2 linked regions of the Sus scrofa genome follow. The protein of the gene in region 2 interacts with the protein of the main gene of each other region in a pairwise test. Links are inferred from orthologs where the notes say so. Each region holds a gene or a part of one and is shown on either strand. Other genes may lie near its edges.

Region 1 (4,406 bases), on a different chromosome or scaffold from region 2:
GTGGGCGAGGAAAACAAAGGCGACAGAACGGAAGCAAAAATGAATCCTTCCCTTAACGGGCCTGTGGCAAGGATTTACTTGTAACCTGGAAAGTGGCTGGCCTGCGATGCAGGAGGCCAACTTCAGAAGACAAACCGCTCAGGGATGGAAAGGGGGGAGGTAGCAAAGTCTTTGTTTTGCAGCCCAAGATTACTCAATCATTTGTTACACTTCACAGGGGGCTCCTTTGTTTCAGTCTGCTGTTCCTAGATGGGTCCTGGTTCCACCAGCCCTGCACCCCAGGAAAACCATAACATAAATCATCCCAACTTCCCAGTTCCCTCACACTGCTCCTAGGGGTTAGCACCACCACAAACTTGCTCTGGCCTTGGTACAGTGTATCCTCCAAGCCTAGGGTAGGAGGGGAAGCGGGCAGAAGGCAATGGCAGATACTGGTACTCAGAACTTTGCTCCACCCCTGCGTGCATAAGAAGGGGCGATTTTTGGACCCATGTCCGGCAGGTACTTAATATCTGGCAAGTCCAAAATGTGCCTCACCTCGGAAAGGAAGACAGATTGAACGGGCAGGCAAGAAGCCAAGAAGCGCCCCCAGCCAAAATGCTCCTACCTGCTCCCTCTTCCTCCTCCGTCCAAGATAACAAACTCAAGCCACAGCTGGCAGCGCTTTTCGCCAACTCTCCGTTTTCCAAATGGCCCAGGAGCCCAGTTGGGACCCAGAAGATGGTGGAGGAGGGAGGGAGAGAAGGGAGGGGGCAGCGGCTGCTGCAAAGGCTCCCTCACGCAGCTCCGCACTCAGCTCGCCTGTCAGTGCACCACCGCCTCTCGGTCCTCCTCCTCTTGGCCCGGCGCCTGGGGGCGCCCGGGAGGCGGCGTAGTCCGCGCGGCGTCGCTGTCGCCCTCGTCCGGCTCCGCGGGGTGCAGGTGCGTGGCCAGCTCCTGTAGCACCGCGGCGCGCCCTATCTGGTCGTTGCGCCGTTTCTCCATGATCAGGTCCTCCAGGCTCTGAAATTCGAGTGTGTGGCTGCGCTGCGCAGAGAGCTGGATCTGCAGCCGGTAAGGCTGCTTGCCAATGCGCAGCTCCCCACCGATCTTGAACTCACGCTTGCCGTAGCGGCACCAGGCGGCGAAGCTCTCAGAGTTGCGCCAGCTCAGCTCGCGCTCCTTGGCGCCCACGTGCGCCAGCGCGTTGCGCACCACAGCGCTGGGGCTCAGCGGCTTGTAGCGGTACAGATCATTCACCACGCGGCCGCGCCGGCCCTGGCTGGCGTCCGTCAGGAAGCTGTTGCTCACCTCCAGCCGGTGCAAGTGCACCACCTGGAAATTGCCCACGTAAACAGCCCAGTGCGGGTACTGCGCCTGCGACACAAACTCCACCAGGTCGCCAGGCCTGCACTTGTTGAGCAGGTTCTCTGGCGTGTAGGTGCTCAGGGCGGCGGAGCCTGGAGCGAAGCTTTTCTGGTAGATACACTCGTCGCGGTAGAACACGGAGCACTCCACCTCGTGCAGCCGTGGGTCATAGGGCTGTGGCGGGGGCAGGGGCGGCCCGTCCCCGCTGTCGGGCAAACCGCCGCCACCGCCATCCAGGCCCTGGGGCGGCGGCTGGGGCTCCACGTCCTCGTCGTCATTGGAGAAGATGTAGGAGACTCCGATTCGGGGCCCGTCATCCCGGTCCACTCCAGTCGGGTCGGCAGTGGGAACTTCCTTATAACTTAGGTGGGTCAGTTTCTCCACCTGGTTGCCCATCACGCCGTGGACACACGTTCACACCGCCGAAAGAGGAGAAAGCGAAACCACCACTAGGGTCATTGGCACAGGTCCCCGGACCGGGGCTGAGACCACCTGTTGGGAGAAGAAGGCAAGGTAGCCATGTAGGAGCCATTCGGTGAAATGGGCGATTTGTTCTTAAGAAGAAGAAAAAAGACTGAGGGCCAGGCACCTGGAGTCATTTTACTAGGCGTCTCAAATGTAGCGAGCTTTCCCTCAGTTTTCCACCTCCAGGGTCACAGTCAAAGGAAGCCTGGCAACTCCAGCTCTCCCCCTCCCCCAGCCCTTCACCTCGCCTGGGCAAAAGCCCATTGCATCAGCGACTCCTACCGCTTCCGCCAGCGCCCTAACCTGCCAAGCCCAAATAGGAGGGGGTAAGAAAAAGAAACTTTACTTCAATTCCCCTTTCCTACTCTCACTTTCACCCCAGGGGCCTAAATTAGCCCCTGAGACGCCCTCCCCGCCATCTAACCGTAGAGAGAAACCGGCGAGGAGCCGCCGCGAGGCTGGAGCAGGTGAGCGGCCCAACCTGGCTCACCTGCGGCGCTTTCTCCTCCCTCCTCGCCCGCCTCCCCCCCGCCGCGCGCCCGCCCTCTAGTTCGGGTTACCTGCGTGAACTCACCCGCGGAGAGGTGGAGGCCGAGGGGAATTGGGAGGGGTCCCCAGCCGCACCCTGAGACTTCTAGGACGAGTTTGCAGGTGTGGGCTCCGCAGTCTCTCCTCTCCAGGCGCAGGCGGCTGCGAGGCTGGGCAGGGGGGAGCGGCGCATGTCTTGCCCCCGCGTAAGACTTGAAGGGGGGGAGTGATGCCTCTTCACACGGCACCTTTTCCCTCCTGCTGGGGCTGTTTCTCCCCCTCAACCGGCTCCCGGGGAGGTGGGGCTCTCCAGAAGAAGAAGGAAGCAGTCTCGGTGCCCGGCGGCTGCAGCTCCCGGTCGGGCCGGGCGAGCAACAAGCGCCGAAGCGGGAGGGACGGGATTGTAGATCCGGCTCCCGGCTCCCAGGGCGGGAGCGCAGCCCCTGGCATTTAAAGAGACAGACGCTCGCTCCCGGAGCCCAGGTCTTTCCCGCACCGCGCGGAGCCTCGGGCATCCCCGCCCCCTTCCCCGCCCCGCCCACCCAGACCAGGGGGCTCCGCCCAGGCCACGCCTCCACTTCGGAGCGGGTTTAAATCCCGCTAGTAAATAACCAATGGGTTGGCTGGACTGGCAGTCTGCGCCCCTCTTGTTGTACGCATAGCCCCTGGGAGTCCTGCTTCCCCTCTTAAAGCAAGGCCTTGTGGGGCCCTCGCTGCTTGCTCAGGTTGTATTTTTCGGAGCTGTGAGCTTTAAAAAGAAGTTGTAAAGCAAACGCCACCTGCCAGTGTAGAAAGAAGAGAGGGATTAAGAGTTTGGTGTTTGTTCTGTTTCCCTTTGCCTGTTCTTTCCCAAAGTACCTGGAGAGGGAGGAACAGACATTAGGAAACAAAGAAACTTTTACTTCCTTCTTTTCTTTCCTAGAACCTATTTCTTGCCAAAGGTCACAGAAAAGAATTTTTTCCTAGGCAGACTGGAGAAGTGCTTCAGTTTAAAGGTGTTTACAAAATAAGTCCTGTGAAACTTTCAGGTAAGAAAAAAAAAATTCGCAGGAAGGAACTGTAGAAAACAGAACAAAGACCTAGTTAGTGACTTGCTTCCAAGACCAGGGCTCTCTTTATTAACTATTAACGTTGCTTGAAATTAGCTCAAAGTTGATTTCATAACCTCCATTGTTTTGAGAGTTCCCAGTTCAAAAGACAGTGAAAGAAAGCATTCGGCTCTGGTTGTTTTTCTTGGCGGTAGAGGATGTAGGAATTGCCTAATTGTCTTTAAATTCAGAGCATATTAGCAGAGGCCCTCGCTGGATATATTTCCTTCCTGCTGACTTACAGAAGGAAATGACAGGAGACTAGTATTGCCTATAACCTCCACTAAAAGAGGGCACTCCCTCTCTCTCCCCTCCATGCTGGTTTTGTTTATTTTACCTAAGATGGAAGCTCTACAAAAGTGGTTTTCTCGCTCTCTGTCTCTCCCTCTCTCTTTTTTTTTTTTTTTTTTTTGGTTTGCTTAAGAATGCAACTCAAGACCTCCTCTGCTCTGTTTTCCATCACTGTTTCTTTTGACTCAATTTTTCCAGGTAACACGATTATTTATTCAGTGGGTCTACTGACCAGTGGAAACAGGAATGTACTAATACTACTGCGATCCTTTTTAGTTTGAGGGGAAAAAAAAGAAATCAATCTACTTATATACTTTGGAGCCCAGCAATCAATATTGGCAGGGCTGTGATGGAAGTTAGTCCTTCAGCAAGTCTAAAATCTCAGTGTAAATTAGACCAAAAAGGGACTTCTGTGTGTCTGCTGTGTAGATTAAGTCTTTTCTGACCGGCCTCAGGCATGTGTGACCAGATGGGTCCCCCCTGAACTTTTTGATAACCCATGCTCTGGGGGCTGCTGTTTTACCTGAATGGTTTTTGCCACTACGAGGTAGGCTCATGTAGATGCCCATTTTACAGGGAGGGGTTAGGCTGAGAGAGGCAATGGCAAGTTATCCCACGTCTGTTAGCCTGGGGAACCTCTGCTACCCTCAGCTGTGGTGGGACACTTTGCCCCTAGGTGTGGGGTAG
Region 2 (4,376 bases):
CCCTTTAAGCAGTAACTCCTCATTGCCCTCATTCCCCAGCCCCTGGTAAACTCTGATCCACTTTTTGCCTCCATGAATTTGCCTATTCTAGATACTTAATATTAGCGGAACCATACAGTATTGTCCTTATGCGTCTGTCATTTCACTCAGTATAATGTTACAACAATGTCATAGCATGTATATGTTTATTTTTATGGTTGAATGATATTCCATTGTGTGTGTATACACACCCACACTACATTTTTAAAAATCCATTCATAACTTGATGGACACTTGGGTAGAAACTTTGTTTTGTTTTCAAATAAGTGAAGTTATCAAGAAAAAAAAAATAAATGGTCCCATGTAATTTTGACAGTTTTCCATTTGTTTCTCCTGAGGAAGTTGAGGACACAGTGACTCCCGGCTGTTTGCACACGATCACACCACTACAGGATAAAGTGAACAAGTGCAGCTAACAAGGGCCTGCATAACCTGGACTTTGCAGGCGTCTCCAGCCTCTTAAATTCCACCAACTTGTTTCCCGGTTCCCATAAAACCTCTTCCTCTTTTGCTGTCTTCTCTTTGCACATGCTGTTCCCTCTGCGTGGAACACCCCCATTGCTCTCCCTAATTTTTTTGGGGGGGGTCTTTTTTGCCTTTTCTAGGGCCGTTTCCGCGGCATATGAAGATTCCCAGGCTAGGGATCCAATCGGACCCATAGCCACCGGCCTACACCACAGCCACAGCAACGTGGGATCCGAGCCGCGTCTGCAACCTACACCACAGCTCACGGCAACGCCGGATCGTTAACCCACTGAGCAAGGGCAGGGACCGAACCCGCAACCTCATGGTTCCTAGTCGGATTCGTTAACCACCGCGCCACGACAAGAACTCCAGCTCTCCCTAATAGATGGCGTGCTTGTTCGTTGCTTCTAGCTTTTCCCCTTAAAACATTTACTGTTGTAAATGTAAAGGTTTCTGTTTCCGCATCTTAAAGGACGGAGCTGTCTTGTACATCACTGTGAGCTCTGCATCTACTGTAGTGCTCACCTCTTACTAGGTAATAGAAATATTTCATTATTTCAGTTCCCTGTACAACTTAGTTCCATTAATTCACAGTATGCTTGGTCGAGCCAGACATAAAATTGTTGGAATCCTGGCGTGGGCGTGAAAGTGAGACTTGGGCTGAGTCTTCGGGATTCTCAGGCCATCGGAGGAGGGCAAATTCCTCCTGCCACGCTAAGGGTAGCTACAGCAAGGTTCTTTCGGGGGTGGTATTTGTGGCTGCGTCGCTACAGCGGACTTTACGATGTAGAGAGAGGCGGTCCTACCGGCAGCGGCCGGGGCAGCGCAGGAGCAGCGGCTCGAATCTGATCATGTGACTTTCAACATGGCGGCGGCCTCGCGCCGCTCCAGGAAGGGGCGGGGCTTGAGCAGGGGGCGGGCGCAGACTCAGGTTTTAGTGGGGACCCGGCTCGCGTTTACAGACAGCTGATCATGGAGGCGAACGAGTCTGGGTGAGTCCTTTACCACGTAGTTTGGCCGGCGGGGCTTCTGACCTGAACGTTTCCGCTCAGGAATCTGTCCCTATACCCCTCCTCCCCAGCCCCGGAGAGCTCTCAACCTGAACCCAAGTCGCTGGAATCCCAAATCCTCCAACCAGGATTCCTGAGACATTCATCCCAGGGAATGTCTCGCTGGACTGCGTCCCGCAGACCTTCATTTAGGGGATACCCCCTCGACTTTCTAATCCTCGACTAGGATCCCTATTTCGGACCATCATCTCTGATCCCTCCATGACTGTCCCCCAGCCTGGGGTTCTTCCAGCCCTGAAACAGCCCACTGGTATTCTTGTTCCTGAGATTCTTCTGGTCCAAAGATCCCCAAACTATCCTCACCCCCCCGCCCCCATTCTCCGTGTCTCTTCATTGGCTTTGAGGTTGGGGAAGCTGGGCCAATGTGTAGGGTAGAGGCCCCAGCACGAGCCCTTCTAGTTCTGTGCACCACCAGATAGGCAGAGGGAGGCGGAATCGGCGGGGAGCCACAGCTTGGTAGCTGGCCTGGAGAAGGCAGATAGCGGTGCCAGACTGAATCCACCTTAAGCACCTTAGCCTTGCCCAACTCCTAGCTCAGTTTACTGACACCTACCCCACTCCCTCTGATCTCTAGTCCCCAGGGTTTTCCGGAGCTGAAGAATGACACCTTCCTGCGAGCAGCCTGGGGAGAAGAAACAGACTACACTCCGGTTTGGTGCATGCGGCAGGCAGGCCGCTACTTACCAGGTCAGGGTCGGGGCCTCAGAGTCTAGGTGAAACTCCGAAAGGCAAAAAGTTTTTGAGAGGCAGAGAAGGGCGCGCGCTAGAGGTTCCTCAAAGCTGATCCCTGCCCTCCCTTTTCTGTCTGCAGAGTTTAGGGAAACCAGGGCTGCCCAGGACTTTTTCAGCACCTGTCGATCTCCAGAGGTGTGCTGTGAACTGACGCTGCAGGTGAGGGGTCCACAAAAGAGGGGAGGGATTTATGCCCTCAACTTGCCACCTAGCAACCTGTCTTTGTTTCCCTATAGCCACTGCGTCGCTTCCCCCTGGATGCTGCCATCATCTTCTCCGACATCCTCGTTGTACCCCAGGTACCTGCTCAAACTTTGAACAGGTGGAAAAGAGAAAAGACAGTCAAGGCTCAAGATGAGCACTTATCCTTACTGGACAGAGGGAAAAATAGGCTGGAAGTGATGGAGTTTGGCTGAGTTTTTTTTCCTCCTTTTCCTCCTTCCTGGCATGGGTCGAACAGAACTCTTCCTTTGGAGGTACCCGTTGGGAACTCAGATCTTTCTTCCCCTCCAGGCACTGGGCATGGAGGTGACTATGGTGCCTGGCAAAGGGCCCAGCTTCCCAGAGCCATTACGAGAAGAGCGAGACTTAGAGCGCCTCCGGGACCCAGCAACAGTGGCCTCTGAGCTGGACTATGTGTTCCAGGCCATCACCCTCACTCGGCAACGACTGGCTGGGCGAGTGCCACTGATTGGCTTTGCTGGTGCCCCGGTAATATGGACCAGGGCAGGGACTTGGGCTTGGGGAAACTACGCTGGCAGGTCTGGGTATGGACAAGGGAAGGAAGCGTCAATCTGGCTTCTATACCTGTGACGTTCTCTTTGCACCCTTTTGCAGTGGACTCTGATGACATACATGGTTGAGGGTGGCGGCTCAAACACCATGGCTCAGGCCAAGCGCTGGCTTTACCAGAGGCCGCAGGCCAGTCACCAGCTGCTTCGCATCCTCACTGATGCTCTTGTCCCATACCTGGTGGGACAGGTGGCTGCTGGTGCCCAGGTAAGTCCTGAGGGAGAGACAGACAGGCTGGGGTTTAGGATTAAGGAGAGGAGAGGTGTCTTCATGCCAGGCACAAAATAAGTTTGCTCCGAAATAATGGGGCCGGAGCAGCTAAGCCTAGACCCTTAATGCTGTGTGTGTTCAAAGATCAAAGCCAGTACTGAGATCTGGAGAAGGCAAAACTTTTTGACTGGAACTGGGTTTATAGGCTTAGGCAGTATCAGGGGTTGAAGTCACCTGGGGGAGATTGAGGGACCTTCTGTGTGTGGGGTTAGACACACTTCCTCTTTGTATGTTACCTATTTCTCTTTACCACCCCTCTCATTGCAGGCATTGCAGCTCTTTGAGTCCCATGCAGGGCATCTTGGCCCACAGCTCTTCAATAAATTTGCACTGCCCTACATCCGTGATGTGGCCAAGCGAGTGAAGGCCGGGCTGCAGGAGGCAGGCCTGGCACCAGTGCCCATGGTAAGGTTGAGGATGGGGTGAGTGAAGGCGGGTCTGTGGAACTTTCAGGCTAAGTCCTGGGTGGACCTAAGTGACCACTGGAGGGCAGCAGAGACACAGCGGCGATGTGACAGCAGGCAGAGCAAGGGAAGGCCCTCTGCAGCCTCGGATTTGCCCTTTCCCCCAGATCATCTTTGCTAAGGATGGACATTTTGCCCTGGAGGAACTGGCCCAGGCTGGCTACGAGGTGGTTGGGCTTGACTGGACAGTGGCTCCAGAGAAAGCCCGGTGAGTGATGGGAGGTGAGGTCGGGGGAGGGGGTGCAGCAGCTGCCACAGGTGCAGTTACCGGAACATGGCACTGACTCTGCTTCCAGGGACCGTGTGGGGAAGACAGTGACCCTGCAGGGCAACCTGGACCCCTGTGCCCTGTATGCATCTGAGGTAACAACCAGGTCCCTGTGTTTGTATGTCTGTGAGTTTGTCTCTTTGCACTTCCACGGTTGTGGACATGGTTGTGTTTATTACTGTGTGTGCGTCTCTTTATTATCTGTTTAGCTCTCCCCCCTCCTCCATTCACACCCTGTGAACTCAAGGAAGGCAGGGATTTCTGTTTATTGATTTT

The links.
Region 1: the proteins of UROD (region 2) and FAM84B interact in binary tests that used the Homo sapiens proteins (3 or more experiments, as listed by UniProt). The two-hybrid records come from large-scale screens. The link is inferred for Sus scrofa from reciprocal best matches to the Homo sapiens genes UROD and LRATD2.

The regions. Positions count from the first base shown.
Region 1 is NC_010446.5:13,443,735-13,448,140, reverse strand, and holds the start of FAM84B (protein FAM84B), read right to left. Parts: upstream 2,859-4,406; 5' UTR 2,387-2,858; exon of another isoform or gene 2,373-2,386; intron 2,316-2,372; exon of another isoform or gene 1,937-2,315; intron 1,840-1,936; 5' UTR 1,744-1,839; coding exon 805-1,743; 3' UTR 1-804.
Region 2 is NC_010448.4:166,327,645-166,332,020, reverse strand, and holds the start of UROD (uroporphyrinogen decarboxylase), read left to right. Parts: upstream 1-1,462; 5' UTR 1,463-1,476; coding exon 1,477-1,496; intron 1,497-2,148; coding exon 2,149-2,261; intron 2,262-2,385; coding exon 2,386-2,465; intron 2,466-2,542; coding exon 2,543-2,605; intron 2,606-2,819; coding exon 2,820-3,017; intron 3,018-3,143; coding exon 3,144-3,305; intron 3,306-3,635; coding exon 3,636-3,773; intron 3,774-3,939; coding exon 3,940-4,040; intron 4,041-4,128; coding exon 4,129-4,195; intron 4,196-4,376. UniProt on the Homo sapiens protein: Catalyzes the sequential decarboxylation of the four acetate side chains of uroporphyrinogen to form coproporphyrinogen and participates in the fifth step in the heme biosynthetic pathway.